7 linked regions of the Macaca fascicularis genome follow. The protein of the gene in region 6 purifies or fractionates together with the protein of the main gene of each other region. This does not show direct contact. Links are inferred from orthologs where the notes say so. Each region holds a gene or a part of one and is shown on either strand. Other genes may lie near its edges.

Region 1 (3,815 bases), on a different chromosome or scaffold from region 6:
TTTGATAGCTTCATAGGCCACCTTTATTTTGATGACACCCCCAAATCTGTAACTGTGTCTCCATCCTTTCTCCTGAGCTCCAGTCCAGTATTCCAGATGCTAGCTGCATAGCCTTCAGATATCTTACCAGGAAGTGCCTAAATTAATGTAGCATTCATACCTCCTTTTTTCTGCCCTTTCCCCAGCTCATACAGTGGCCACTGTGTACTGAATAGCCCATCTATAAAGCTGAGCTTTAATTTTTGTCTTCCCTTTGCCTTCTTGTACCATAGGTGTTCCCAATCCCTGTCAATTCTGTCTCCCTAATTTCTCTCAAGTCTGTCCTGTCTTGGTCTCCAGGGCCTCTAGCATAGTTTATGCCTTCCTCCAGATGTTCTTAATAGCCTCTTAACTGATCTTTTTGCATCTAGATTCTGTTTTTCACTTTGTGTTCTACAGTGGCACCAGACTGGTCTTTCTGTAACTAGGCTCTGCACATGTTGGTTACTGGTTAAAAAACCCTTAGTTCCTTCCCATGGCAGTGTGAGTGGTCTTAAAAGCCTGGTGCACAAGATGATTCCTTGGGTTGCAGAAAGTGAATATTGAGAACTCTTATTTATCTTAAGTGGAAATGAAATTAAGCCTTACTAATAATACATAGATTAATGGTGATCCAGTGTATATCATAAATAAATATGTATGTGTTGAAGATATGTGATCAAATTCTTTTTTACTGAGTACACAATCAAAAAAGTTTGGATACCGATCAGGCTATAGGGTTAAAGTCCAGACTCTTTAGCCTGACCCTTTATGGTTTCCCCAGTGTGTTTCTCTATTCTTGTCTCCCATACACTCTCCAGCAATATCAAAATAACTTGCAGATCCCAAAACACACCTTGTTTTTGAAGCTGTATGCCTATACTGCCCTCATTGCTCACTACTTGAGACTATTGCTTATCCTTTATGATCTAGCCTAATTGTTACCTCCTTTGTGATGCTTTCCCCAACTCCCTTTGTCATTGTTCCCAAAAACACTTAATTTGCCTTTTAGTGTGGGAGTCACTCATTTGTATTGAGATTGTGCTTGTTCCACTAGAATGGGTCCCTTAACAGTTGACTTTTAGTAGTGTTTAGCAATAGCACACTGAGCACACCCAATAAATGTGTTCTGTAATTTGCATTTCTGTAATTCAGTAAAAATTACAGTCAAACAGAAAAGAAGCTTATAGGTTGAAGTAGCTAGAATATTTTACAATCTGGATTGTTGATGTAATATAGCATAGAAACCTATGAACTCACGGATTGCTGTCCTTTATATAGTTTTTGTTACAACTTCTCAATTCTGCCATGGTAGCACAAAAGCAACCATACACAATATGTAACTGAACGAGCATGGCTGCTGCAATAAAAGTTTACTTATGGACACTGAAACTAGAATTTCATGTAATTTGTATGTGTCATAAAATACTCTTTTTTTTTTTTTCAAGCATTTAAAAATGTAAAAACCATTCTTAGTTCCCAGCTATGCAAAAAACAGGTAGTAGGCTAGATCCAGCCCTTAGGCTATAGTTTTTCAGCCCAATAGTTTAGGCTGTAGAAGATTGCTTGTTTTGTAGTTATTATGAAGAACATTTAGATTTAATAGCAGAAATTGTTTGCCCCAACAGGTCCGTTTTTTATCTGATCTTGTGAATTGCCATGTGATTGCTGCCCCGTCAATGGTTGCCATGTTTGAAAATTTTGTAAGCGTAACTCAGGAAGAAGATGTGCCTCAGGTAAGAGAACCCCTCACGCTGAATCTTGAGGGGCTCTTGAGGGGTTACTGAATCCTGGTACTTCCATATAGTACCAGAAATCTTTCGCTGATAATCCATTAGCAGTAAAGAAAAAACAGCAGACTATCACACTGTAAGTTCTTACTATCTAAAAATTAAGTTGACTGGCACACTGGTGGGTTCTCATAATATCTGTATGTTGATTTAAATGATGCTGTCCAGTAAGATTAGAACTAATATATCTGGAAATGCTCTGTATAAACCAGATGTCATAAGTCCTATTAAATAGCTTCCATAGGATTTCATTCAAGAATAAATAAAATATGAATGAATATAATTAAAGCATATTTTAAACTTAACTTTTTAAAAATCCTTTAGGTGCGGCGAGATTGGTATGTGTATGCATTTCTGTCATCTTTGCCCTGGGTTGGAAAGGAGTTGTACGAAAAGAAAGATGCAGAGATGGACCGCATCTTTGCCAACACTGAAAGCTATCTTAAGTAAGGGCACAGCTCATAGTACTCTTTGTTGCTTAGGTAAAGGATATCTTATATCAGTGATATCATTTGAGTTTCTCAAAAATAAGCTGTAGAGTTCCTGAAGGTATTTTCTAGGTAATCCTGTTCTCCTGCTGTTTTAACTCACCGAGACCTCAAAGTAATCAGATATGGTTTGCTTACTTTTGCCAGTGCACAGGACAGTTGGTAATATAGCTTCTTTTAAGCTGCTTTTATATGTTTATAAAAGACATAAAACACCCTAGTGCAATAGTTCCTCAAATATTAGCGTGGATAAGAATTACCTGTGGTACTTAAATGCTCAGACCCCAACCCCCAGACCTAATAAATTATACAATTTGAGAGAGAGGTTTGGACATCTGTATTATTAACACATTTCACAAGTGGAGAACCACTGCCCTAGCACATACAATGTGTTTATTTCATGTAAATTAATCCTAAATTAAGCTCTTAAAACAGTGGTCCTTAACCTTCCATCCAGGCAGTACTTCTTAAGTAATATGACACATTTCAATTAAAATAATCACATGTCTTCCCATTACCCATCTCTCCCAAGCCGATGTAAAAGCTTGGTTTAGATTGTTAGATACAATGATAATAAATAGGTCTTTTTAGTAAATTTATGCTTAACTATCCAGCAACATGGTAATGGTTATGTGGCCCTTAAGTTTTTACAGATTGATTTTATTGTTAAATTTCACTTTCTCTTTTTTAAGTACTTTTTTGGATAACTGTTAATAGCTACTTAGTTGATTATTAAGTAAAGTTAAAAGAAGCTTAAAAAATAAGAATCTTTTGGCCGGGTGCAGTGGCTCATGCCTGTAATCCCAGCACTTTGGGAGGCCGAGGCGGGTGGATCACCTGAGGTCAGGAGTTCGAGACCAGCCTGTCCAACATGGTGAAAACCCATCTCTACTAAAAATACAAAAATTAGCCAAGCGTAGTGGAGGGTGCCTGTAATCCCAGCTGCTCGAGAGGCTGAGGTAGGAGAATTGCTTGAACCCAGGAGACGGAGTTTACAGCGAGCTGACATGGTGCCGCCAGTGCACTCCAGCCTGGGCGACAGAGTGAGACTCTGTCTCAAAAAAAATCTTTTGTGTGTGTATACATATCTTTTCTCTTTTTTATTCAAGTGATAGCCCAATATACACACTGTTCTTCACTTGGCTTTTTTCTTTTTCTTACTATAACTTGGATTTGTTGCATAAAAATACTTCATAAATCTTTTTAATAGTTGTAGGGTATTTCACTTTTTAATGTACCATAATTTCTGTAGTTACTGTTGGTGGACATTTAGGTTATTTTCAATCTTTTGCTATTATAAACAATGTTTCAGTTAATATCTTTGTATGTCTTTGTGTACACGTGCAGATATATTTATGGGGGATATAAATTTTTAGAAATGGCATTACTGGGTTGAAGGTTCTAAACAGTTTTAATTTTGATAGATTTAGTCAAATTACCTTTCAAAGAGATTATACTCTCCCAAAGAGATTATACCAGTTAACCTCTTTGTCAACGATGTTTGAGACTGAATCTCGAC
Region 2 (4,274 bases), on a different chromosome or scaffold from region 6:
GAGTGCAGTGGCCCAATCTCTGCTCACTGCAGCCTTGACCTCACCGGCTCAGGTAATTCTCCTATCTCAGCCTCCCAAGTAGCTGGTATTACAGGCCTGAGCCACCACGCCTGGGGAATTTTTTTTTTTTGGAGCGGGGGAAAGGTGCTCTCACTATGTTGCCCAGGCTGGACTTGTTGTCTCTACCTCCCAGAGTGCTGGGTTTACAGGCCTGAGCCATGGCGCTCCACATTAAATTCTTTTTAGAAATGAAGTTTCACTATGTTGCCCAGGCTGGACTTGAATTCCTGGGCTCAAGGGATCCTCCTGCCTCAGCCTCCCAGGTTACCTCTGAGGTTTATAACTGACGCTATGTTCTTAATCCCTCAACCAGAAGCCTTTAGATGGTTACAAATTTTCCCCATTACAGGCATGACTTGCTAATAATAATAATTAGCAATTATTTCAAAAGTAACCTCACCCCCAAAAAAAGAACGTTTCTGAAAAAATGCACAAAAGACTTGAAGACCCCCAATGGCACGGTTGAACATGGAAATGACTAGCCTCAAAAGCCCCCAGCGCAGGGGTTATTTTCCGATCAAATCGGATGTCTTTCTACAAAATGTGATGTGGAGAGGCTGGGGCTATTACCTTCACCCCAGCCCAGGGGGCACCCTGAGAGGGAGAACAGGGTGGGCGAAACGGGCCAGCTCCTCCCCAGCCCCCCGCCCTGCTCTGCTTCAGGGGCCTGATCTGAGGGCCCAGTGCGCACTGTTTTTCCTCCTTGTCCGACAGTGTTTCCCCCAGGCCAGAACTAGGTGGCTGGGACACTGCGGGGCTCAGGGCGTGCGGGAAGAGACGCAGGAAGTGGGTAGTCCCGTCGTGTCCGCGGAGGCGACCCAGCCCCGACCTTTTCGCAGAGGAAGTGTTATCCAGCCTGGGACCTGGGGGATGAGCAGGGGTTAAGCTTAGGTCCCAACCACTAACGGGACTGGTTGAAAACGGCTCCCAGGCGGTGGGGCCCCCCGCGACGTTCTCAAGGAGTAGCGCCAGGGGACGACGTGGGAGGTGGGGTTCTCACACCAGCGGGCGCACGGACGGCTGGAGGCACCGACCCGCCGCGGACGGGATTGAACTAGGGAACTGGGAGGGCGCAGGAGATAAAGACGGCCGGGACCCACGGAGAGAGGTGGTGCCCAGTGTCCCGCGAGGATGCAGTGCCAACTGGGGAGGGTCCCGGGAGCGGGGACCCAGGCCCGCGCAGAACCACACACGTGGTCTGCACCTCGCCCCGCCCCATCTAAAGAGGCGGAGGAACGCAGGGCGAGGGCAGCGCGGAGGAATATTTGCATAAGGCGGGGCGATTCTTCGGTGGCTTCTGATTGGCTGCCGTCTGCGGCGCGAAGCGCAGTTGACTTGCGCCGCGCTCGCCCAATCGCAGCCTGTCTTGCTCGCGGAGAGAAGAGCTAGGAGCCTCGGCCAATGGGAGGCGGCGTTGTTGGCGGCCACGGCGGCGCAGCCCCAAAGCGAGCGAAGCCAGGGTCGCCGCCAGTGCCGCAGGAGGCGTGAGGTGCGGAGACGCGGGTGCTGGGCCGGTAACGGCGGCTGGGGAGGGCGGCTGGGCCGGGGCGGGCGGGAGGGGCCTCGGGGCCGGCGCGGGCGCGGCGGCGGCCATCTCTGGAAGCCGCGGGGCGGTGGGGCAGGGGCGGGGCCGCGTCCTCGTCAGAGCAGGTAGCGGCGGCCGCGGCGGGCCTGGAGCCTGGGGCTTGGAGCTTGGGGCCTGGAGCCCGGGCCTGGGGCGCTGGCGGGCGGCCCCTCCCAACTCCCGGCGCGCCTCTCCCGGCTGCCGGCCCCCCTGAAGGTCAGGGCGCTTTGTTCTGCGCCGCGGGCGGCCTCCTGGGCGGCGGCCCCGCGGAGGAGGCGAAGACGGCTAGAGGCGGCGGCCGCTCAAATCTCCCGCTAGCCCGGCCCGCCCCGCGTGCGGGGGCCGCGGCGGTTACACGGCCGGGCGCGCCGGAGCGTTCAGGCTTCCCGTTTTTAAGGTGGAGACGTCCAGGACCTCTTTATTAGATGTTGATGAATTTGAGTTTTTCCGTAGGGCGATGGTCATCGTGAGCCTCTGTGGGGTCAGGCTGCGCTAACTGGGGTTTTGATGTCAGTTTGGTGTGGCCGAGGGCATGTCTGACGGGGAAGAAAGTCCTTGGCGTTGCTTCTTAGCTGTTGGGAGCTGTGCGGTGCGAGCGAGATGGGCGGCGTGCGCTCCCCGAGGACTGGCCTGAGTAGCCTTAGACTAGTTACTCGCGGGACTTGGTTTCCCAGCCAAGGTGGGCAGCAAGTCTGTTTACTGTTTAAAACCGTCTTTCACAAGGGAAAAGCAAAATCTCCAAAAAAAAAAAAATTGTACATGTTATGAATGGAAAAGTGCCATGCTTTTCTTTCAGTTCAGAGATGGTGAAAGAGGTCACATTTGTATTTTTTGACCTGACCAGTGTCTTTGTTTTTTTCAATTTTCCCCTTCTAAATGCTTTCCGTTCACCCCAGCGAAGGATGGCCTGGTCATGATAAGACTTTTCACCGTCCACAGTTCACTAAGTCTGATTGCGGGGCAGGAGGCAGACAAGTTTAGGGTCCAGGAAAGGGGACTCCAGCCTTGGGACCTTTAGACCCTAACGTGTGTGTCACATCACCTGCCTGAGTGACTCTGCGCTCCTCTGGCAGGAAGGTCCGCCATTTCATTATGTTCTCGGCAGAATCGTCGGGGCACATTCATCTGTGCTGTTCACATACCCAGTCTGCATTACTTTTTCCTGTAGTAATCCCTGTCTCATCTTCCTGCATTAGGTGTACGGTATAAAATAGACTTTTAAAAGTTATCTTACCTTAAAAATATACAAGTATGTAGATGAGGTTGTTGGACCTTAAAGGTAAGTCTTTTTAAGTTACTGCCTTGCAATAGGAACTATATCTCTAAATGACTAATACCTGCACTACGCACCAGGGACTCCTTCAGCCTGTTTGCGTGTATTAACTCATTTCGTAATCTAATAACTTGTGAGATAGATAGTATTGTTTTTCCATTTAACTACTCTGGAAGCTGAGGCCCTAGGAGGTTACGTATAATGACTTGTCCAAGGTGATAAAGCTTAGGTAAAGACTCAGGCAGTTTTAACTTTACCCAGGGTTACTGCTTCTGTAGAGGGAATGAAAGAATTTTTAATCAGAAGTTGTTTTCATCATTGTACTAAGCCTCACTGAACTCTAGCTTACGAGGTTTTGAGCTGGTTGATCATTTCCATCTCAAATTATTCCACAGCATGCCAAATGCCTCCTGTAGTAGAATTTTGAGATTCAGACCGGGATGAGCAATTACTAATAGAATAAATAATATGCAAATGTAAAATGAAGTTAAGAGAAAGGAACGTGGTGATAGAATCGGGATATATTCCAAAGATAAAATGAGTGACTACAGAGAGAGAGAAAAGTTAGTTATTTAGTAGTAGTTCACAAGTTTACTTAGAGACATTTTTACTAGAATTTTAGGGCCTCATGATGTGATTTTTATGGACCGTTTTAACACGTTACTGCTCTTTTTTTTTTTTTTTTTTTTTTTGAGACGGAGTCCCACTGTATCGGCAGGCTGGAGTGCAGTGGTGCGATCTCCGCTCACTGCAGCCTCCGCCTCCCGAATTCAAGCAATTCTCCTGCCTCAGCCTCCCGAGTAGCTGGCACTGCAGGCGCCCACCACCATGCCCGGCTAATTTTTGTGTTTTTATTAGAGACGGGGTTTCACCATGTTGGCCAGGGTGGTCTCGATCTCTTGACCTCGTGATCCACCCGCCTCAGCCTCCCAAAGAGCTGAGATTACAGGGGTGAACCACCGCGCCCGGCCTACTGCTGTCTTAAATAGCTGTTATTACATATCCAGTTGCAGCCTTTTTTTTTTTTTTTCTGGTTGAGCAGTGTTATTGCTTCAGAATGTCTGCAGTTATTTGTGCCTATATGTCATGGCATCTTAACACTTTTGTGAATTTTGTTTTGTAAGCTTTAAATCCGGTACTATTTTTCAAAATGAATATGGAGTAGTCATTGGAGAAATTGGTTGAATTCTTTGCAGTAGCAAATAAATTGTATTCATTTTTAAGTTTGATAACCTTGGTAAACTGAATTCTGCAAAGTTTACACGTGTTTTAGGATCCCCTCAAAATGTACAGGGCATTGTGTTTTGCAAAATAGCCATTTAGCCATCAGATTCTTCTGTAGAATTTTGATCTTTTTGCCCATGTGCGAGGTAGTTC
Region 3 (4,334 bases), on a different chromosome or scaffold from region 6:
CCATCCCAAGTTCTCAGTGCAAGACAGACACCTGCAAGCCCGGTATCCCTGGCAGTGACTTTACAAAAACACACTGACATCAGCAGGACTGTACCCAGTCTGGAGGGGAACGATGTAGCCATAAGACCGTGGGCAAAGGAACGCCTCAGGTGCTGAGCAAGTTAGCAGTGAGCCGGCAGAGTGAGGGTATGGTCCAGAACACCAGGCTCATGATTGTGTCCTGTTTCCTGTTCCTCAGTTTCGTCATACGTGAAATGAGTGCTTACATCCAAGCACTGCAAGCCATGGTACTGAGTCACCCACCTAAGTGTCTTGGTCCCCTCTGTGGGGAAGCAAGGGTCTTGCCCAGGGTACCTGCACCTCACTTCTAGTTGTAGACTTTTCCGTCAAGCTTCCACCACTCATTGGTGGTCTACTCCAGTAGTCTACCTTCCTCCCAGTACCAACGAGGGGGATCCCACAGAAATCCTCCCAGCAGGGACCCCTCCCTTTGAAACTATGGGGGTGGGCACAGCCTGGTGGCATAAAGACAAACTTTATTGAGGCTCTCAGCACTAGTTCTCTTTCTCCTGCACAGTCTTGGTTCCCCGGAGACGTCCAGTCCGGCGGGCAGCAATGAGACCCACTTTGCGGCCAGCAGGGGCATCTCTGCGGATGGTAGAGGGCTTGCCGATGTGCTGGTGGTTGCCACCTCCGAAAGGATGCTCCACAGGCTGTAGGCAGAGGAAGATGGCTTTAGAATGCGGGTGAGCCCACCTCCTTCAGGAGGGTTGGAGCAAGATCAACAGTCCTGTGACTACAAACCACCACCCACTGCTCCTCCCACTGCAGATGTCCCTCCTGCAGGGCCACCTGTGGATGGGACTTGCCTACTCGTGTGGCCATGGTACCTTGAATACCCAATCCTGCATTTCTGCGTTACTTACATTCATGGCCACACCCCGTACTCGTGGCCAGCAGTTCCTCTTTGCCTTATATTTGTGGTAGGCCCGGCCAGCCTTCAAGATGGGTTTGTCAATTCGGCCACCTCCAGCCACCACACCTGTAAAGGAGATCAGGTACCTCAGGGAACCTCTAGTCGGTCAGAGCACCCCCACCTCCTCTCCTCAATCTCCTGTCATGCACCTTCACAATACTACATCCAACTACCCAGCAAAAAGCCCACTTGCCTCCACCCTAGAGAGCCCCTTGCACCCTGTGAGCCGACATCCAGTTTCTTCAATCCACACTGGGCAGTCAAGCCAAGGCCCTCACCTCCATCACCCAGAATGCTGGCTGAGCTCCAAGCGCAGGGAAGCAACCCCCTCACCATGTTTGAGACATCCGACATGTCACTCAACCTGACACAGGACACTTGATTCAGCCTGCCCCATCTCAGCGTTGCTTATTCCAGGAATACAACCTCAGGGCCTCCCCTGTGCGAGGCTGAGTTTGTAACAAGGATTCCAAGATGTTCCCAACAGCACAGCGAGTTAACCGAGACTCAAATCCTCCTTCACTCACTCAGTAGGTGATTTTGAGAAAGTGACAAATCTCTCCCTGCCTTATCTGAAAAGGCTGTTAACCAAGTACAGCAATCAGGAAGCCCAAACTAGAATTCAAGTCCCAAGTGACTTAATCCTAATCTCATTTAACGCCACAATAGCAGCAAGGCAAGTACTATCGTGTTCATTTTACAGTGACGAAAACTGAGACTACACAATAACCTCAAACTTACAAAACCCAAATTTTGAAACAACAGGTAATTCCAGGAACCAAGTCTAGCCACTGGCTGTCCGCCGGCGCTCACAGCCTGTTCACCCAACAGCCCTCAGCATTCAACTACTGCCTGGTACTCACCAACCACAGCTCTGTTAGCTGAGGAGATAACCTTCTTGGAGCCGGAGGGCAGCTTCACACGGGTCTTCTTGGTCTCAGGGTTGTGGGAGATAACGGTGGCATAGTTCCCTGATGCCCGGGCCAGCTTGCCACGGTCTCCAGGCTTCTCCTCCAGGCAGCACACGATCGTACCCTCAGGCATGGTGCCCACAGGGAGCACATTGCCAATGTTGAGCTGGGCTGCAAGGGGAAGCAGCATCAGGCCGTCAGCGCGGTAAGAGGTAATGCGACCCCACTCGCTGTAAGCAGCCCGTGAAGTTGCGAGCACAGCATTCAACATCCAGCCTCCCGGTGCAGCTCTCTGAGTACCCACCGGTGCCCAACGTAGCCACTGGCCTGGCCACGCGGTGGCCCACCCCAACTTTCTGCCTGCGAGGTTCCCACACCGGTTTAAGACGTTAACTCCTCAGACAACACCCAGACCTCTCCCCACCCCGACCTTCCTTCCCCGCTGCGATGCTAACCCTTCTTGCCGCAATACACAAACTGTCCCGTGTGAATGCCCTCGGCGGCAATGAACAGCTCCGTCCGCTTCTTAAACCGGTACGGATCCCGGAAGACCACCTTGGCGAGCGGCGCGCCGCGGCCCGGGTCGTGGATGATGTCCTGCGGGCAGGGGCGGCGTAAGTGCGGCGTTCCGGCCGGGAGTCCCGTCCCCTCCCGCCCCGCCCTGGCCAGCGTTCCGCACCTTCACGATGCCCTTGATGTAGCCGTGCCGCTCGGCGAAATCCACGGCGCGCAGGCGCGCAGCGCCCTTACGGTGCTTCACGTGCGCGCGAAACACAGACCCAGCGCCCTTCCTCTGTCCACGGATCACACGGCCCATGGCGATGGGTCCTGGGGGCGACTCACGGTTAGCGCGTCCGGGTGGACCCGGCACCCCCGCCAGCCCGGCTTTCCGGGACCCCGCCTCCAAGGCCGCCGCACGCACCACCCCCTACCCTCTCCGCGGGCGTCCGCACCGCCATCCTCTCAGGAGGGCCGGCCCGCGTCTCAGCGCGCCTCAAGGAGGAGGATGGCGGCGGATACTGCCCATGCCGCAGCGCCGCATGCACGACCTACCAGCTCACTAGCGCGGCCGAAAGAGGAAACGCGGTGTACGCGAGCCGCCTTATCTTCCGGGGCGGGGCCCAGGGCCGCGACACCTTCCGGGCGCGCCACGGCCAGTCCAGCGCGGTGCACGCCGGGGCTTGTAGTCACCAGTGGCCGCCGGCCCTGCCTACTTTTCCGCCGCTGGGGCCCCCGCGCAGGCGCACCGGGAGACGCGGCGCGCGAGGTCCTGCTGGCGCGGGCTCTGAAGGAGCGAAAGAGTGCTCGGCTTTCACCCGGGTCTCCGGGAGGGCAAGTGTTCTCTGAGTGGTCGAGGAGGCGCCGAGTGGTTGAGTGAACTGTGCAGGGCGTCACAGATCGACCCACTCCGGGCCACGGAGTCTGGGGCTCCCGGCTTTGCCTGGTGAGGGGCTTTCGTGTAGGCGGAGGGGTTCTCGCTGATGCAGAGCAGGAGATGGGCAGGGGAGACGCTTGTACCCCCTCGTGGAACGTCGTGGTTTGCAGGTGGCAGATGACCGTCTCCCTGATGGACGGGCGCTGCTGGACGCGGGGACCTTGTCCACTGTAGGCCCTTGGAGAGGTCGGGCGTCGAGGAGAGGAGCCCGGGGATCCTTGCCGAGGGTGAGGGCCGGCCGGCCCAGGAAGTGGGGAGGGCCAAGCTGGAGGGTCCCGGGGCGAGGAAGAAGGAGCGGGGATGGGCTGGGTCACATGCTGCGGGGAGAACGAATAATAGGAGACTGGACCGTACCCTGACCAAATTCTGTGCGGGAGAGGTGGGTGGGGAAGGAGCAAGAAATGGAAACTGGGAGGGGCAGTGGGGGCCTGAGCTGGAAAGAGTCAGCCCGACTGGGGGTGTCCAGCGGCACATGCTGGGGAGAGGGGCTTCGCGAAATCGGGTCCCTAAGGGGTGGGACCCCGAGGCTGGGGGCGGCGGGTGGTGGGGAAGAGGTTTTTCAGGAGAGAGCCCCTGGCTGAGTGAGCACTGTCGGAGCACAGGCGAAGCCGTGGATGAGGAGGCAGCAAGGAGGTGAAGGCAGGGGTCCCAGTGGGTGGGAGAGGCTTGCAGTCAGGACTGGGAGGTGGGGTATTTCCTAGACCCTGCAGGGGCTCTGGCAGGGTTGACATCGTGAGAAAGAGACAGGAGAGGGTGGAAGGGGTGTCCTGTGGCCGCTGCTGCTCATAGGGGAGAGAAGGGGCTGCTGAAGGAGGCCCTCCCCTAGGGTTGGCAGGGGGATCAAGGAGGAGCTGCCGGGTGGGGACCCAGGAAGCAGCCCAGCCCACAGCAGGGCCAGGGGCTGAGGGACAGGACTGGACCCCAGGGGCAGGGTGAGGGGTTCTGGGATCAACCCAAAATTGGCCCACAGGCCCAGCGTGTCCCTCACTCCTGAGCAAATCTGCTTCTCTGC
Region 4 (3,815 bases), on a different chromosome or scaffold from region 6:
GTGATGTGAAGTCTATTCATGTGTGAAATGAACCAACCAGAAACTGATGTGAAGCTGCTATTTAGGTGTCTTCTGCTGGTGTGCTACTGAGATAGATAGGCTTAATTCTTTACCTCTCCCCTCCCTCCCATGTGGCTATGCCAAAAGTGTTAGTTAATTCAGCTGTCAGTGTTGACATCACTCTGACCATAGTGACATGATGACCTGGAATTCACGGAGGGCCTCATGCGTGGCTTGCTGTCATCAGTGACAACTGTCTGATCACACTCTAGGAGCCGGGCACTACTCTGAGCACTTTGCATACATTCAAGTATTCCATGTTAAGCCCCCAGAAAGTAACTCCTGTAGTTCTGCCCATTTCCCAGCTGGGTTCCCAGGGCACAGGGTGGTCCTAGCTTGCCCGAGGTCCCTGCCATCCAGTGTCTCCTCCCCCGTGCACCTGCCCACACTGCGCTTCGATGCTTCTTGTTTGTTCTAATGCACAAAAATTGTGTAAAGCAAAACACAGCTTTGCCTTTCTCCACTGGAGAATTGAACATAAGCAGAGATCTAAGCTACTTCTGCCTTCCAAAACAAAAAATTGCATTTCTTAGTTTGATTTGGGTGTGCCAAGGTGCATCGTTGGCCTGCCATGTCCTTGCTGGTATTGACAGTAACCGAGGGCGGCACTGGCCTTGAGCTTTTTGGCCTTTGTATTGCACCACCTTTCCCTCACGGAATTTCCTGTCTAGCCTCCCCTCCTGGAGGAGAACGTGAACTAACAAATATTTAACTATGGCTTGTATTTTAAAAATTAAATACATATGTCTACAGAAGACAGAAGGGATTTCTTTATGAACATTTGATACTTTTTTTTAATTTTTTTTATTTTTATTTTTTATTTTTAGATTCCAAGACCTCTCTGAAGGTGAGGTGCTCCGAGAATCATCATTCACGGTGTTTTTCATGAATATGGACCCCACTGGGGGCGTTGATGCCAAATGCTGAGAAACAAGATTGAAAGAACTTTACTGAAAACCTCTAATAAGAAATAATAGTCCTTAGCCCAGGCAAAATAGCGAGGCCTCATATCTACTAAAAATGAAAAAATTAGCCAGGCATGGTGGCATGAGCCTGTAGTCCCAGCACTTGGGAGGCTAAGAGGGGAGGATCACTTGAGCCCAGGAGGTCCAGGATACAGTAAGTTGTAATCACGCCACTGCACTCCAGCCTTGGTGACAGAGCAAGACCCCAACTTTTTTTTTTTTTTTTTTGAGACAGAGTCTCACTCTGTCACCCAGGCTGGAGTGCAGTGGCCGGATCTCAGGTCACTGCAAGCTCCGCCTCCCGGGTTTACGCCATTCTCCTGCCTCAGCCTCCAGCGTAGCTGGGACGACAGGCGCCTGCCACCACGCCCGGCTAGTTTTTTGCATTTTTTTTTAGTAGAGATGGCGTTTCACTGCGTTAGCCAGGATGGTCTCGATCTCCTGACCTCATGATCCGCCCATCTCGGCCTCCCAAAGTGCTGGGATTACAGGCTTGAGCCACCGCGCCCGGCCAAGACCCCAGCTTTTAAGAAAGAAAGACTAGCCCTTACCTAGTCATACCACAGTACAGCCATGGGAAGTGACACAAGCCTAGGGCCCCCTGCAGCTTGCCCACCTTCCTATCCTGGGCTCTCCCCTAACCGCCAAAGTGAGAGGGCAGACTGCTCTCATGTGTGGATACTGCGATGTTTTGGTTTGGTTTTTATTGTTTTAACTAGATGGATTTGCAGTGGCCTAGGAAGGTTTTAATTGGATACTCTGTGAAGGTAAAATGTAATTTCTCAGGATCCCTTTCATTTGCTGTTACGTTTGGACAAGTCAGTGAAGTCACCCCATACCCCTCATGCACTAGGGACACTTGGAATTGGGAAGGGCACCAGTGAGCTGGTTGGAATGCAGAGACCACATTAGCCAGGCCCCCAGAGTCCAGCCATGGAGGGTGTCACCGAGGGCTTGTGATCCCTTGCCTTGGTTGAGAAACCCACAAAGCTTTTTTAAGTCTGTAATTCCTGTGTCAGCGGCGCTCAGGTTTGGGTGGGAGAAACAGTGAGGAACGATCATGATGAGGCAGAAATTGGGAGGGGGCTCTTAGGCCCCTGGGGCAGACTCTCGAGCGCCTGGGGAAGCTGACAGTGTGTCACTCTGGCATCTAGGAAGCAGTATATCTCAACTGAGTTTTGCGGAGGACATTTCTGCTGATGAAGATGACCAAATCCTCCGTCAAGGAAAGCATAAGAAGAAAGGAAATAAACTTTTAGAGAAAACTAACTTGGAAAAGGAGAAAGGTAAGCTGTGAAGCTGAAGAGAAGGGCCCTTCTCTTGAGGGCTCATGACTGAGCCCTTGGGGAGCGGCGTGCACCACGGAGGCATCAGAGACTGGAGCTCATGCCGTCACAAAGCATTAGCAGAGCCCAAAGCTTCGGTTTGTAATGGCTGAGAGGTAAAGGTGGTTTACCAAGTGTTCTGCTGTTTCGGTGGAACCATGTCCCCACCTCACCCCGCTCACGTCCGCCTGCTCCCCAGGGCACCTCTGCAGGGAAGCAGGAGCTGCAAGGAGCACAAGGGGGGCAGCTGTTTGATGACCAGTCTAGATCTATGGTTTTTACCTTTGGGCCCTAAAATTAGTGGAAATCGGACTATTTCAGTTCTATGTGTGTTTATAAATGGACAAAAGGAGGGCTTCCAGTCACAGTTGGGAGTGGAGGAAGTAGGACCAGACGACAAAGGTAGTGGGCACACTGAGTACCTCAAGGGAGACAGAAACTCTCCTGGTGGTAGAATGTCAGGAAATTGTGTCCGCCAATCATACTGTCTCAGAATCACCAGCAGGACTCTGGCCCAGCCGGCACTGGGAGGCTTATTGATGGGTTTCTGTGTTTTTAGGAAGCAGAGTGTTTTGTGCAGAGGAAGAGGACAGTGAAAGCAGTCTTCAAAAGAGAAGAAGGAAGAAGAAGAAGAAGCACCACCTGCAGCCTGAAAGTCCAGGCCCAGGGGATGCAGCCCCGTCCCTGGAACAGAACAGGGGCAGGGAGTCTGAGGCCGCTGAGCCGAAAGCCCTGAAGGCACGTGTGGCCGAGCCAGGCGCAGAGGCCACGTCCAGCACCGGGGAGGAGAGTGGCTCCGAGCATCCTCCAGCCGTCCCCATGCACAATAAAAGGAAACGACCACGGAAGAAGAGTCCAAGGGCCCACAGGGAAATGTCGGCATCAGCAGGGTTGCCCCCAGAGGACATGTCTCAGAGTGGCCCCAGTGGCAGTCATCCTCAGGGACCTAGAGGGTCCCCAACAGGTGGAGCCCAACTCCTAAAAAGGAAGCGGAAGCTTGGAGTTGTCCCTGTCAATGGCAGTGGCCTGTCCACGCCTGCCTGGCCTCCACTGCAGCAGGGAGGCCCTCCCACAGGCCCCGCGGAGAGGGCGAACAGCCACACCACCCTGCCCCAGTGCAGGAGGCTGCAGAAGAAGAAGGCAGGGCCTGGCAGCCTGGAGCTCTGTGGCCTGTCCAGCCAGAAAACAGCAAGCTTGAAAAAGAGGAGGAAAATGAGAGCGATGTCAGACCTGGTAGAGCACAACGGGGCGCTGGAGTCCGAAGCCAGGCAAGCCCAGGCTCTGGTAAGGTGGGAGCACCCGCAGGCCAGCTCGCCGCAGAGGCGCTCAAACGCGTCCGGGGGGCTCCACTGCCTCCTGAGAGGAAGGGTGGGGGCTGGCAGCCAGGTCTCTGGACTCAGCAGCAGTTAGAATAGGGCATGTTCGGCCGGGCACGGTGGCTCAAGCCTGTAATCCCAGCACTTTG
Region 5 (4,455 bases), on a different chromosome or scaffold from region 6:
AGTAAGGAAGATGGGCATAGGTATTGTGGGACTGTTGGTTCTAGACCCTGTTGCCTATTTTCCGCTTGATTTCTACATGGTTCTAACTGGACAACCTGGGGCAAACATCACCAACACCAACTCCAGAACATGGGACATACCTAGGTATACCTTTCCACCTGCAGAAGATTCAATCATGCTTACCTGATCTGCCACCTGCCGGCTCAGCTGTCCCTTAAAGCCTTTCATGCCCAGGAACTCTCCATCCTCTTCTTCAGCAGCAGCTGCATCAGCTGCATCAGCGTCTACTTCTTCCTCGCGCAGGCGCTGATGCAGCTCACCCATATCCTCGAAGCTAGAGCCTGAGGTATCATCCATGTTCTCCATGTCAATCACAGCTGAGCCTCCGCCCTGTGAAGACAATGGCTCCTAGAGTGCAGGACTTTTCTGTTCCATCCATTAAGTCCTCTGCTCATCCCAGGGTTTAGGGCTTTGTTCTTCCACTGCTGAGGATACGGCTCGGAATCACTACAGATCATGCCACTCCATTCCCCCTCATATGCTCTCAGAACTCTTGGTTTCTAGCTTTGGCTGAATTTTCTAGCCTGGGAAACATACTACTAGTCTTCCATTCCTGTCTTTTTCCTACCTTACCTACCAAAGACTAAAAGGCTGAAAAAGTGCCCATTTCCTTCTTTCCTAAGCCCCAAACAAAACTATACACATAATATGTTTTCAGCGAATGCCAGTGAATCCCCACCCAACCCCACTCCATGCCTGACCCCGACCAACTTCCTAACTTGTTCCAAGAATACCTTCTTCCTAATGCCTCGAGCGGGCCCAGAGACCCGAGACCCTCAGGCTGGAGTACTAGTCTGGCCCTTTCAGGTCAATGTTAATCCTACTGACTTTAGTGTGCACGAAGACCCAAAGAAGAGAGTTTTGCAAATGGAGCGGACTTCCAGGCCCACAGGGAGAATCCTCAAGACACTTCTGGACATCGCTGGCCCTCGGGTTGCTGGCAGCTAGTGCCTTGGGGCCATTACCTGGATGTTTTCTTCGAACCCTCCCCATTCCGGGCCAGCTCCATTTCGGGCGCCGCCCGCCGGCGCCGCTGTAGTTGCCATGTCCCTTGAAGGCTCCCGTCGCTGAAGCCCGCGCTAGCCCCGCGCGCGGAGGAGTGGGCGAGACGTGGGCCTTAGTGAGGGAGACGTCCCGGGTCGAGGAGAGGTGGGATCGGCCGGAACACAAAAAAGAGAAGCCCGGATGTTTGGACAAAACCAACTTCCGGAGGCTGGGGACGTGGACGGAAGCGGGGAAAAGTCTCGCGATATTTAAGATTCCAGGCGGTGGCGCGTTGCCACGGAGACGGAGCCAGTCTACTAGGACGCACGCGCCAGATAGAGCCTCCAGTCTCGTGGAGAGATTGAAGATGGCGGCTTCTCAGGCGGTGGAGGAGATGCGGGGCCGCGTGGTTCTAGGGGAGTTTGGGGTTCGCAATGTAAGCCTTGTGGCCTTGAGCTCGGGCGGGAGGAATGAGAGCGGAACAGGGGTGGGTCTTGGGATTGGCGTGGGGATAGCCGTGGGCTCATTGTCCCTTTGTGGACAAACTCGTCCCTTTGCTCTAGGTCCATACCACTGACTTTCCCGGAAACTATTCCGGTTATGATGATGCCTGGGACCAGGACCGCTTCGAGAAGGTAAGTGGGGCCGAAGTTGTCTGGGGAGGGTTATGAAGGCCAGACCCTGTGGCCTGAGCAGCCTGTGTCTGTCTCAGCAGCTGCTTTTGGGGGTCGCTCCGTTTGTGTTTGTTGAGCAATGTGCTAGACGCTCCGTTTACAGGCCAAATTAGACACGGTTTCTATCTCTGCAGAGATATTCCGTCTTGTTGAGGAATGGTGCGTATAAACAAGTGCATCTAGTGTAATATGGTGAAGGTGGTTGATAGCGATGAAGACGGCAGGGTTGGGGTGGGGAGCATTCCGCTGAGACCAGGAAGAGGGGCCGAGAGGTACTTAACATTTCAAGAGGAGGGGACACCTGAATTGAACCTTGAATGGTAAGTAAAAAAAAAAACAGGAGTTGAATTATGAAAGATTTGAGTTTCACGTCAGTGAAGTTCAGGATATGCAGGTTTTGTGTGTATTTAGTCTTTTGTATTATTGTTTCACTTAGCTTAAAATAAGGGTTAAAATTGCATTTAAATAGATTACTGAATGTTACCCTTTATGCAACTGACCTAAATGTTACCCTTTATGCAGCTTATAAACATGATGTGTAAATCAGTGCCTGGGAAAATTTTACTTTTTTAACCTGTTGATACAAGGAATAAAGTATGAACAATGAAAAAGGCTAATGCTTGAAAAAAAATTATGACTTCTGTGACATGTGCTCCGGGAATGTCCAAGTAGTTCTGGCATGAGTGGTCGGCAAGATTGAAGTGTGTCACACTGTGGATGATAGGGAGCTTGAATAGTTTCTTAAGCAGACATGATCAGATTTGCAACCTTGATGGCTGGGAGGGAATGAGTTTGAGGAGGATCATATGGAGCAGGCAGATCTGTCGTAAGGGAAGCTGAGGTTGAAGATATGAACTAAGACTGATGGTAGAAATAGAGCAAAGGAAGAATATAAGGTAAATTTATGATTGCTTGGATAAAGGCTGTGGGGGTAGCATAAAATGACTTTTTCTGGCTTGGGAACTGCTTTTTGCTTTGTGGTATCATTTACTAAGAGGAGAAATGGGTCTGGGGAACAGGGATGATGATGCATTGTTTTCTGTATGTGGGGAAATCTAGCAGGCTAGAAGACTGCATGCTTGAAATGAGATCAGAAGTGAGATAAAATTTTGGGAGTTGTCAGAACAGATAGTTGCTAAAACTGTTAGTACAGTTAAGGTGACCTGGGAGAGAGACAAGAACCTGGCAAATTTAGAGATGGGTGGAAGTTGATCATCAGAGATGGAAGAAGAGTGGAGCTCAGAAACCAGGGGAATCGTTCAAAAAAGGGGATTTTTTTTTTTTTTTTCCTTTTCATGAGACACTCTTATCTCCCAGGCTGGAGTGCAGTGGTGCAATCTTGGCTCACTGCAACCTCCGCCTCCTGGGTTCAGGCAGTTCTCCTGCCTCAGCCTCCCGAGTAGCTGGGACTACAGCTACGCGCCACCATGCCCAGCTAATTTTTTGAATTTTTAGTAGAGACGGGGTTTCACCATGCTGGCCAGGCTGGTCTCAAACTCCTGACCTTGTGATCCGCCCCTCGGCCTCCCATAGTGCTGGGATTACAGGTGTGAGTCACCGTGCTGGGCCCAGAGGAGGTTTTTTAATCAATGTCAAGCATAACAGAAGTCTAGTAAGAGGACTGGGTAGTGTCAACAGGACTAAGCACTATGGTAGTTTCTGTTCTTTAGTGGAATAGCTTCTGTGGATGGTTTGGTTGGAAGCCATATTGCATAGGGTTTTAATGAATGGACGACAAAAATGGAGACTTTTTATGAAACTAAAGCACTGGGCGAGAAAGAATATTTAATAAGGGACATCTGGGCAAAGGGAGGTTTTTGGATGAGAGGATAATACTTGAGGGAATTATCTAAGGGGGAGGTATGAAGAGATATTACAGAGAGAGCAGGTTTCACTTAAATGTTTTTCCTGTCCCTCTAGAATTTCCGTGTGGATGTAGTACACATGGATGAAAACTCACTGGAGTTCGACATGGTGGGAATTGACGCAGCCATTGCCAATGCTTTTCGACGAATTCTGTTAGCTGAGGTATTGGCAGGCATGGTGACAAGGCTGGAGTTGCTTTGGGAACTGCACTGACACCTCACTTGGAGAATTGTCTCAAGCTGTCCTTCCCTCATTTTTCCTGGAATTTTGCTGAGCATTTTACCTTCTCATTCTTTGTAAATTTCTCATTAAACATTCTAGGAAGAGAGATAGCTCCTTACCTCTGGAGGGTGGGGTTGTGGGGATAGGTAGGGGGTCTGTTGGGTTTTTGCAGATAAGTGGTTATTTTTCCTTGGGCAGGTGCCAACTATGGCTGTGGAGAAGGTCCTGGTGTACAATAATACATCCATTGTTCAGGATGAGATCCTTGCTCACCGTCTGGGGCTCATTCCCATTCATGCTGATCCCCGTCTTTTTGAGTATCGGAATCAAGGTAAGAAAATGAAATTTTGGGAGAAGTGGACTGTCTGGGTTCAAATCCTGGTTGACTGTGATGTTGGGTAAGTTACTTATGTTTGTACATCAGTGTTTTTCATCTGTGAGAACACTTGCCTTGGCTTCCCAAGTTTGCCGTAATTAAATGGGACACATATGTAAAGCATTCAGCATAGTGCTGGCACTCAGATGTTTACTAGTTCTTTTTTTTTTTTTCTTTTTTTTTTTTTGAGACGGAGTCTCGCTGTGTCGCCCAGGCTGGAGTGCAGTGGCCGGATCTCAGCTCACTGCAAGCTCTGCCTCCCGGGTTTTTACG
Region 6 (4,597 bases):
AATACTTCCTCATTTAACAAATAATTTTCATTTCTTTCTTTTTTTTTTTGAGATGGGGTTTTGCTCTTGTTGCCCAGGCTGGAGTGCAATGGCGCCATCTCGGTTCACTGCAACCTCCGCCTCCTGGGCTCAAGCGATCCTCCCACCTCAGCCTCCCGAGTAGCTGGGGGCTCCAGGCGAGTGCCACTACACCCGCTAATTATTATTTTTTTGTAGAGACAGGGTCGCATTATATTACCCAGGCCGGTCTCAAGTTCCTGGACTCAAGCGATCCTCCTGCATCAGCCTCCCAAAGTACTGGGATTACAGGCATGAGCCATCGCGCCTGGCCTTAACAAACACTTTTCTTTCTTTCTTTCTGAGACGGAGTCTCGCTCTGTCGCCCAGGCTGGAGTGCAGTGGCGCGATGTCGGCTCACTGCAATCCCCGACTCCCCGGTTCATGCGCCTCGGTCTCCCAAAGTGCTGGGACTGCGGGCCTGAGCCACCGCGCCCCGCCTGAGGTGATTTTTAACAAGTACAGCCGTAGCTGCAGGTATCCTGGTTCTGTAGGAACAATGAGGTATGGATGGATCCATACCTGGACCCATGGATTGGATGGATCCCAGGCAGGCCCTGGACGGAGGGAAATGCTCTGTTGCTAAGCCCGGCATCGAGGGAGGCCCACCCTCAAAGCTAACCGTGGAAGTCACTCCGGCCTCCTTCGCCCTGCCGCCGGGGAACCCTGCCGGTGGCTCTCGACCTGCTCCCGAGCCATCTGGTGACACTGACTTAGCAGCCACCACCTTAATTGGCGCATTCGACGCAAATAACAACCAGGGAACCTGTGGGCGGTCAAAGGCCCGGCTTTGCGGTCGGCCCGCCCAGGCCCCTCTCCTTGCCCTGTGAGGCCAGAAAGTTACTTCTCCGAGGCCGTTCCCCATGACGAGAAGTATCTCCCGCCTGAGGTTCTGTGGGGTAGGGGAGGTTCGTGCATTTCTCACAGAAAAACCTCGCACAGACCCGCGACTGCCTTTATTAACGGCTCTCAGAAGGCTGCCTGCAGCCGGGGGTGTCTCCAGTCCCATGCTCGCGGGCAAGCAGGGCTGAGCTGTGCCTCCGAAAGGGCCAACGGGAACTCCGCGGTCCCTGAACTTCCGGGGCTGGCGGGCTTCTTTCTCCAGGGCCACCGGGAGCCCCGGCGTGAGTGCGTGCCGGGGCCGCGCGCGGGGTCTTTGAGGAACTCCAAGGCTGCCCGAGCCTAGGGAGCCAGCCACATTGGAGATCCCTAGACCGCCCGATTCCACCACCCCCGAGGTCCCCTCACAGCCGGCGCCAAAAACGCCAGTCCCACGGCGCAGGCCGGGACCCGCGCGCCCACGGCCCAATCAGCGCCCGCCTTGCACAAAGCGAGCCCCGCCCCCACGGCACGGCTGCCAGCCCCTCCCCCTCCCGTGGCCGCCTCGGCCCGCCCACTCCCCGCCCCGCGCCGTTCTCGGTTAGAGGCTCGCGATTGGCTCAGGGGGACTGCCGCGAGCTCTGGTTGGTCGGCACGGAGTCACGAGGGCGCCGTCGTCGCCTTTCCACAGGCGATTACTGGGCAGGCTCAGTCTTTCGCCTCAGTCTCGAGCTCTCGCTGGCCTTCGAGTGTACGTGCTCCGGGATCTTCAGCACCCGCGGCCGCCATCGCCGTCGCTTGGCTTCCTCTGGACTCATCTGCGCCACTTCTCCGCTCCACACTCCGCCGCCATAAGCCGCCATCATGGTGAAGCTCGCGAAGGTAAACGGCCTTGAGCGCGAGCGCAGACGTCTAGGCCTGCTCTCCGAGGGGCGAGCGCGGCGGCGCGGGGAGGAGGGCCTGCGCGCAGTCCCGGGCGCGTTCTAGGGCGCCATGCTGCGGGAAGTCTCGCGCGATTAGTGGGGAGGTCTCGCGGCTTCTGGCTAGTTGGTGGCGAGGTGAAGAGCTTCTGCAGGTGCTGGGGGCGGCGAACGCGGCGGGAAAGACGGAGTTACTGAGCGCGGGGAGGGGGCGCTGGGCCCCGGGGTGGGGAGATGAGACCAAACTCCTGCGACGCATACGAGTCGGGACCCGACTCCTGACGCACGTGCCCGGGTGCGCGGCCTGCCACGTGGGCCGCGCCGCGTGGGTCCTGGAATCTCCAGAGGCACCGGTGCCTTGCGCCAGGAAATGGCGGTATACGTCCTAGTCGGAGTCCTGGCCTGGCAAGCCGACACGTGGTGGGCCCCGGAAGGTGGCTCTGCCGCGTGCCTTTTGCGCCGTGTTTCGGGCACGTGGTGGCCTACCAGGTACCCCCACGTGGCCGCGCCGCCTCTTTAAGGGGCGGGGTTGTCTTGCTGGGAAAAGCATAATGTTCATGAGAAAACCAAGGTAGTTACTTCTTACCTTCGGGCGGGTTTTCTGTTTGTGAAGCCCGGGAGGAAAATTGTGGGCGGTTGAGAGTAGTCCATCTTGCATTGCCATCAGGACTCGTTTTGATGTTGTGCTGTTTGGCACTATGAGAAATGGATCTGAGAAAGGAGAGATGATGGCGTTTTACTATGAACAGTAATGGCAAAATATGAATGGCCTGAAATGTTGAGGTGGAGGTGTAATGACCTACTTGTGTCCATTTTAGGCAGGTAAAAATCAAGGTGACCCCAAGAAAATGGCTCCTCCTCCAAAGGAGGTAGAAGAAGATAGTGAAGATGAAGAAATGTCAGAAGATGAAGAAGATGATAGCAGTGGAGAAGAGGTAATTTTATCTAGCTTAATGCAGAATTGTGTTAAAACTACAACAATGGAGAGTTAAGACATGAAATTGGATGTCTGTGGCTAAAATAAGATTTTATTCATCCAGGTATGTCCTATTGTAGTGGTGGTTTCACAAGCTCTTCACTGACATGTCAAGGTGTCATTTGGCTAAGTATTTGAATGTGAGTTTGAGACAAGAGGTCTGGGGATCTCCTTTCCATGTGCCTCTGCAGGGCAAGGAGTGTGATTTGTTGTGTTAAATCATTAAATTTTTCCAGTTTCAACATGTTAGCCTCACCCCGACATGTAGAGCTGGGCATTGTATTCAGATCTGAGGATAACCTTCCCAGATTCCTTTCCTAGCCTCCAATTAAGATTAATTGGTCTCCATTCCATTATATATAAACTTTGTAATTCTACTCACTGCGTTATAGTTATCTTTGGTGTAGACTGAGGGCTGCCACCTCTTTGTGTTAACATTGACCCTCTTTACTCTTTGGCAGTCCTGGCCTTTTATTTGCTCACTGTAAAGACATCTGAGCACTGAATTGTGCTCAGGTTTCTCGTTGAGAATTGAATAAAAGTTTTATTCTTCCACACATTGCCTAATAAAACTATGGGATTTTCATGTAGCTAAACGATGGCTTTTATCAAACTAACATGCTCACTCTTTGATGTGTGATAGTTTTGTAAGGGATAGTTATGTTTAGCCTATTTGATCTTCATTTTATCTCAGGTCCCAAGAATTGAGCTTCACTGGACTCAGTACTGCCATCCACCATAGGAGCCCCAAATGATTTAATACGTTAATGCTTGGAGCCTCCTAGGTGTAAGGTTCTGAATAATTTACGCATAGCAATTCATTATTGTTATACGTGTAATATGATACTATTACCATTTTCAGATGAGAAAGTTGGGGTTTGGGAAAATATGAGGTGCAAGAATTCAGAGGTCTGGTTCAGAGGTATTTTAAGTGTTCAAAAGGGTTCCTTATGGCTGGGTATTCACCTGATAATAAGGGCTCTGACCTAAGACAACATAACAGAAGCCTGGAGTTTAACATGCTAACATGTGTCTAGCGCATGTGGTCTTGAACCAGAAGCATTGCCAGAATCTAACACTCACTGGGACCATGGTTATCCTTTTGGGTGTGGGGCTGGACTTACTGGTTTGGTTTTCATTTATTCTCAAGGTTGTCATACCTCAGAAGAAAGGCAAGAAGGCTGCTGCAACCTCAGCAAAGAAGGTGGTAGTTTCCCCAACAAAAAAGGTTGCAGTTGCCACACCAGCCAAGAAAGCAGCTGTCACTCCAGGCAAAAAGGCAGCAGCAACACCTGCCAAGAAGACAGTGACACCAGCCAAAGCAGTTGCCACACCTGGCAAGAAGGGAGCCACACCAGGCAAAGCATTGGTAGCAACCCCTGGTAAGAAGGGTGCTGCCATCCCAGCCAAGGGGGCAAAGAATGGTAAGAATGCCAAGAAGGAAGACAGTGATGAAGAGGAGGAGGATGACAGTGAGGAAGATGATGAGGATGATGAGGACGAAGATGAGGATGAAGATGAAATTGAACCAGCAGTGATGAAAGCAGCAGCTGCTGCCCCTGCCTCAGAGGATGAGGATGATGAGGATGATGAAGATGATGAGGATGAGGATGATGACGATGAGGAAGATGGTAAGGAGTTGTCTTGGTAGTTACTGGGCTTCTGATTGCAAGATATCTTGAGATTCTGGGATCAACATATTCCACAACAACCTGGAGATGAGAGTAGAGTCCTTGTGGGAATTCTCTGGGCTGTTGTGTGTTAGACTTAATTACCCATGAATGATTTTTGTCCCTCCTGAGAAAATTTCAACAGCACATTCTGT
Region 7 (4,381 bases), on a different chromosome or scaffold from region 6:
GGCACCAGATGTGCAAGGTGAATGTTTTCATTTCACTTTCTAGAACAGACAGCAAAGCAGAGAAGCGGTTGAGAGGGTGAGAAGGTGCCCCAGGGGCTTGGGTACAAAGGGATTGGAGTTGAGCATGTGGAAATTCAAGGTGAAGGTTAGCCCTGACCTCCCCCCAGGGTTAGGTCCTCTCTGGACCACAGCCCTCTATACACAGCTTCTCAAACCAAGAAGCAACGGTGACCAGTAAGTAGCACTTCCCCTCCCCTGCCATTGTAAAAGGCTTCTCTGATTTAATAGACCGTTTGGTCCCACCACCTCCACCTCCCACTCCCAAGAAAATTCTTCTCCATAATGGCATCACAATGTACCCAGTTATTTAGGTCCCAAACCTGGCATCCCCCTCATTTCCTCTTCCCCGACATCCAAATCCATCACCCCCCCAACCTGCTCCACATTAGCCCAAATCTGACCTGTTCTCATTTTCCCTGGGTCCAGTTCACCAGTTTCTAAATGGTCTTCCCGTGCTTCCACCTGCGCAGACCTACAGTCCATCCCCCACACAGCAGCCAGCATCATCTTGTTAAAATGTAAATCAGATCCAAGCCTGACCCTGCATTAAACTCACCAGTGATTTCCCATCACCCTCAGAATGAAATCCTAGCCCGGGGCCCATGCAACCTTGCTTCTCGCCAGCCTCAGCCCCTCCAGCCCTGGACCTTTGTAAATCGCAAGGCTTGGGATTTCGTCCCCTTAGATACTTGCAGGAGTGCGGGGAAGGGGGGCCCTTCTTGTCACTCAGCTCTCATCCCAAAAGCCACTTCCTCACAGAGGCCTCCCCTGACCAACCCCTCAAATCATTATTGTAGACCCTATTTAATAGTAATTAGCCGTGTTTTTAACGGGTGATGTATTCACGTTCCAGCGTTTAAAAAGCTCCTGCAATTAGAATTGCATTCCTAATTCTCTTCATAATTATGATCCTTTTTAATGCATTTGGCTCCGTGTTCCTCCACGAGAGCAGCGGCTTTGTTCCGACCGCCTAGCACGGAACGCAGCAGGAGCCCAGTAATTGTTGAATGGCTCAACGTTCGGAGCGCAGGGGCCGATCGGGGACGAGGCGGATCGATGTGCTACACCTCGGTTTGTTTCCGAGATGGGCCCTCAGCAATGCCCCCAAGGGGCTCCAAAGGGGCAGATGCCACAGCCGCCAGGAAAGTACGGGTGTGAGCAGAAGGCTGGGAAAGACCACGCGCCGCTCAGCTAGGGACTTCCGCTCAGAGCTAAGGCGGAAACGCCGCTTTCCCTGGCCCCGCCCCTTCCCCGCCTTTCGGGGGGGTCATCCGCCCCGGCCCCGCCCCTCTCGGTGGCCCCGCCCCTCTTGGTTTCCCCGACCCTCCAGGTTCTTCCGCCTCCGCGCCGACACTACCGGTGCGCATGCGCCATGCCCTGACCTGGAAGCTGCTGGGCCCGGGGCACACGTGTTTTGTGTTTCGGTGAGTGTGGCGGGGATGGGGAGCAGGGAACTCGCCGAGCCGCTGTCTCCTGGAGAGGCGACGCAGAGTGGCGCCCGGCCTGCCGACCGCCATGGCCTATTGAAGCACAGCCGCGAGTTCTTAGACTTCTTCTGGGACATTGCGAAGCCTGAGCAGGAGACGCGACTTGCGGCCACGGAGAAGCTGCTGGAGTATCTGCGCGGCAGGCCGAAGGTGGAGTGGCGGGGTCTGGGGCAGGGGCCGCGCATATCCCGGCAAGGAAGAGGCGGCGGGCCAGGGATTTGGGACGGGGGGCACGTGGTCGCGAACCTAGATGCCAAGGTGCGCGGGGGCGTGCACCTTGTTTCACCATTGAACACGAGGGTGCGCTTGGTTCTGCAGGGGTCCGAGATGAAATATGCCCTGAAGCGCCTAATCACGGGACTCGGGGTTGCGCGAGAAACAGCCCGGCCGTGTTACAGTTTGGCCCTGGCACAGGTGAGGTGGTGCTCCTGGCAGGATCCCAGCCATCCAGGTCAAAACGGTGGGGTGTGAGGAGGGCAGGTGTGGTGTATCAGCTGCGGCGGAGGGGCAGCCCGAGAGAGAGGTAGGGAGTGGCAGAGTTGATTGGAGGCCAACCTGAGGGAGGTCTCCTTACATAAAGGTGGAGAAAGTGTGAGCAAGGCCTGGCCAGGTTTTCTATTTGGTGCTTGGGTTGCCCGGCCTCTTAGGTACACTTGCTGGGAGCAGTGCGCGCTGGGTGGGCTCCCTTAGGCCTGCAAAGGCATTCAGCTGATTGCAGTAGACCACCCTCTGAGGAGCCTTGACAAGGGGAAGAACAATAAAGACCCAGGCCTGCAGGATCAGCCTGAGGGGAGCTCAGACCAGGTGTGGAGAGAAGACCCAGTGGGTGAGAATTTCAGACGAGCAATCTAGGGGCTATAGAAGGTACTTTTGTGCTGGGCATTGTGGTTCATGCCTGTAATCTCAGCACTTTGGGAGGCTGAGGTGAGCGGATCACCTGAGGTCAGGAGTTCAAGACCAGCCTGGCCAACATGGTGAAGCCCCGTCTCTACTACAAATACAAAAATTAGCTGGACGTGGTGGCGTGTGCCTGTAATCCCAGCTATCCAGGAGGCTGAGGCAGCAGAATCACTGGAACCCAGGAGGCAGAGGCCGCAGTGAGCCGAGATCACGCCACTGTACTCCAGCCTGGGCCACAGGACAACACTCCATCTCAAAAAAAAAAAAAAAAAAGAAAAGAAAAAAAACAACAAAAATTAGCGGGGCGTAGTGGTGGGTGTCTGTAATCCCAGCTACTCAGGAGGCTGAGACAGGAGAATCGTTTGAACCCAGGAGGTGGAGGTTGCAGTGAACCGAGATCGCACCACTGCACTCCAGCCTGGGCAGCAGAGCGAGACTCCATCTCATAAAGTACTTTCAGAAGCCCTGGTGGAGACAGAGCAGGGGGATGAGACTTGGTTCCATGTGAGCAGCTCCAGAGGCGTCCTTGGGGTGGGACTAGGGACCTGAGGCTTCTTGGGAGAAGTTGAAAGGGGAAAGGAGGTTAAAGTTTGTGAAGATGTAGCTGGGCCACTCTCCTGAACCCCTCTTCCTCCTGCCACACAACTGCTGGCAGCTGTTACAGTCTTTCGAGGACCTCCCGTTGTGCAGCATCCTGCAGCAGATACAAGAAAAATATGACCTGTGTGAGGTGAAGAAGGTAAGTGGATCCAGGGACGTCAGCAGCCCCAGGGGTGGGAGGCTTGGGGAACGGGGAGTCCCAGGGCCCCTCATGCCTGTGCCTGGAATCCTTTTCTAGACAATGCTGAGACCTGCTCTCTTTGCAAACCTGTTCGGAGTACTCGCCCTCTTTCAGTCAGGCCGGCTGGTGAAGGTAAGAGCTTTGGAGGGGCTGGGGGAATGTAGGCTGACTTGGAATGGGTAGGGGACAGTAGTGTGCCCTGTTCATACCCTCTGTCGTTCCGTGGGGACCAGGACCAGGAGGCCCTGATGAAGTCCGTGAAGCTGCTGCAGGCCCTGGCCCAGTACCAGAACCACTTGCAGGAGCAGCCCGGGAAGGCCCTGCTGGACGTCCTCTCCGAGGTACGAGCTCACCCGCTGTGCGGGCTCGGCCAGCGCTTCCCGTTACAGAGACATCATCGGGGCTTGGATGAGAGTCTGGAACAGCATTGTTCCATAGAAATACAGAGATGTATAATTTGAAGTGTTTCAGTGACTTAGTCGAAAAGGTAAAAAGAAACAGGTGTCATTTAGTAACATTTTACTTCGTCTGGTATATCTAAAATATTACTGCAGTATGCATTGGTATAAAAAACCGTTGAGGTATCTTACATGCTTTTTTTTTTTTTTTTTTTTGAGACGGAGTCTCGCTCTGTCACCCAGGCTGGAGTGCAGTGGCACGATCTCAGCTCACTGCAAGCTCCGCCTCCCGGGTTCACACCATTCTCCTGCCTCAGCCTCCCGAGTAGCTGGGACTACAGGCGCCTGCCACCTCACCCAGCTAATTTTTTTTGTTTTTTAGTAGAGATGGGGTTTCACCGTGTTAGCCAGGATGGTCTCGATCTCCTGACCTTGTGATCCGCCCATCTCGGCCTCCCAAAGTACTGGCATTACAGGCGTGAGCCACCGGTCCCAGCCTCTTACACACTTTTTGTCAGGTAGTCTCCAGAATCCAGTGTGTATTTTACACTTAGGCACATCCCTGTTCAGATTGGCCACCTTTGAAGCGCTCAGCAGCCCCGTGTGGCTGTGACTACTGTATTGGGCAGTGCAACTCCAGAACTGTGCCTGGCGCGTCACAAATATATAAAACGTTTGCCTTGTTATCCTAGTCAAGGCTGGCCCCTCGTGGGCCTCCACTGCCCGACTTGGGAAGGTAGCACCTAGGCCCTTTT

Evidence for each region.
Region 1: the proteins of NCL (region 6) and NCBP1 fractionate together in Homo sapiens (co-fractionation; 3 studies listed by BioGRID and IntAct, with this or other methods). This does not show direct contact. The link is inferred for Macaca fascicularis from reciprocal best matches to the Homo sapiens genes NCL and NCBP1.
Region 2: the proteins of NCL (region 6) and NAP1L4 fractionate together in Homo sapiens (co-fractionation; 3 studies listed by BioGRID). This does not show direct contact. The link is inferred for Macaca fascicularis from reciprocal best matches to the Homo sapiens genes NCL and NAP1L4.
Region 3: the proteins of NCL (region 6) and RPL8 purify together in Homo sapiens (affinity purification with mass spectrometry; 3 studies listed by BioGRID and IntAct, with this or other methods). This does not show direct contact. The link is inferred for Macaca fascicularis from reciprocal best matches to the Homo sapiens genes NCL and RPL8.
Region 4: the proteins of NCL (region 6) and RRP1B purify together in Homo sapiens (affinity purification with mass spectrometry; 3 studies listed by BioGRID and IntAct, with this or other methods). This does not show direct contact. The link is inferred for Macaca fascicularis from reciprocal best matches to the Homo sapiens genes NCL and RRP1B.
Region 5: the proteins of NCL (region 6) and POLR1C purify together in Homo sapiens (affinity purification with mass spectrometry; 3 studies listed by BioGRID and IntAct, with this or other methods). This does not show direct contact. The link is inferred for Macaca fascicularis from reciprocal best matches to the Homo sapiens genes NCL and POLR1C.
Region 7: the proteins of NCL (region 6) and MYBBP1A purify together in Homo sapiens (affinity purification with mass spectrometry; 3 studies listed by BioGRID and IntAct, with this or other methods). This does not show direct contact. The link is inferred for Macaca fascicularis from reciprocal best matches to the Homo sapiens genes NCL and MYBBP1A.

What each region holds. Positions count from the first base shown.
Region 1 is NC_088389.1:60,479,040-60,482,854, reverse strand, and holds part of NCBP1 (nuclear cap-binding protein subunit 1), read left to right. Parts: intron 1-1,646; coding exon 1,647-1,754; intron 1,755-2,132; coding exon 2,133-2,254; intron 2,255-3,815. UniProt on the Homo sapiens protein: Component of the cap-binding complex (CBC), which binds cotranscriptionally to the 5'-cap of pre-mRNAs and is involved in various processes such as pre-mRNA splicing, translation regulation, nonsense-mediated mRNA decay, RNA-mediated gene silencing (RNAi) by microRNAs (miRNAs) and mRNA export.
Region 2 is NC_088388.1:2,908,912-2,913,185, reverse strand, and holds the start of NAP1L4 (nucleosome assembly protein 1-like 4), read left to right. Parts: upstream 1-1,473; 5' UTR 1,474-1,574; intron 1,575-1,700; exon of another isoform or gene 1,701-2,021; intron 2,022-4,274. UniProt on the Homo sapiens protein: Acts as a histone chaperone in nucleosome assembly.
Region 3 is NC_088382.1:154,500,511-154,504,844, forward strand, and holds RPL8 (large ribosomal subunit protein uL2), read right to left. Parts: upstream 2,967-4,334; 5' UTR 2,941-2,966; exon of another isoform or gene 2,820-2,940; intron 2,716-2,819; 5' UTR 2,705-2,715; coding exon 2,567-2,704; intron 2,485-2,566; coding exon 2,343-2,484; intron 2,059-2,342; coding exon 1,840-2,058; intron 1,043-1,839; coding exon 927-1,042; intron 714-926; coding exon 555-713; 3' UTR 520-554; downstream 1-519. UniProt on the Homo sapiens protein: Component of the large ribosomal subunit. The ribosome is a large ribonucleoprotein complex responsible for the synthesis of proteins in the cell.
Region 4 is NC_088377.1:3,393,292-3,397,106, reverse strand, and holds part of RRP1B (ribosomal RNA processing protein 1 homolog B), read left to right. Parts: intron 1-887; coding exon 888-907; intron 908-2,179; coding exon 2,180-2,311; intron 2,312-2,909; coding exon 2,910-3,634; intron 3,635-3,815. UniProt on the Homo sapiens protein: Positively regulates DNA damage-induced apoptosis by acting as a transcriptional coactivator of proapoptotic target genes of the transcriptional activator E2F1.
Region 5 is NC_088378.1:128,003,547-128,008,001, reverse strand, and holds the start of POLR1C (DNA-directed RNA polymerases I and III subunit RPAC1), read left to right. Parts: upstream 1-1,390; 5' UTR 1,391-1,411; coding exon 1,412-1,480; intron 1,481-1,607; coding exon 1,608-1,679; intron 1,680-3,638; coding exon 3,639-3,746; intron 3,747-4,004; coding exon 4,005-4,137; intron 4,138-4,455. Other genes in the region: protein YIPF3, read right to left, coding at 184-390, 1,026-1,106. UniProt on the Homo sapiens protein: DNA-dependent RNA polymerase catalyzes the transcription of DNA into RNA using the four ribonucleoside triphosphates as substrates.
Region 6 is NC_088386.1:127,382,626-127,387,222, reverse strand, and holds the start of NCL (nucleolin), read left to right. Parts: upstream 1-1,599; 5' UTR 1,600-1,740; coding exon 1,741-1,758; intron 1,759-2,614; coding exon 2,615-2,731; intron 2,732-3,922; coding exon 3,923-4,403; intron 4,404-4,597. UniProt on the Homo sapiens protein: Nucleolin is the major nucleolar protein of growing eukaryotic cells. It is found associated with intranucleolar chromatin and pre-ribosomal particles. It induces chromatin decondensation by binding to histone H1.
Region 7 is NC_088390.1:4,642,419-4,646,799, reverse strand, and holds the start of MYBBP1A (myb-binding protein 1A), read left to right. Parts: upstream 1-1,439; 5' UTR 1,440-1,499; coding exon 1,500-1,697; intron 1,698-1,865; coding exon 1,866-1,961; intron 1,962-3,102; coding exon 3,103-3,186; intron 3,187-3,285; coding exon 3,286-3,360; intron 3,361-3,461; coding exon 3,462-3,569; intron 3,570-4,381. UniProt on the Homo sapiens protein: May activate or repress transcription via interactions with sequence specific DNA-binding proteins. Repression may be mediated at least in part by histone deacetylase activity (HDAC activity).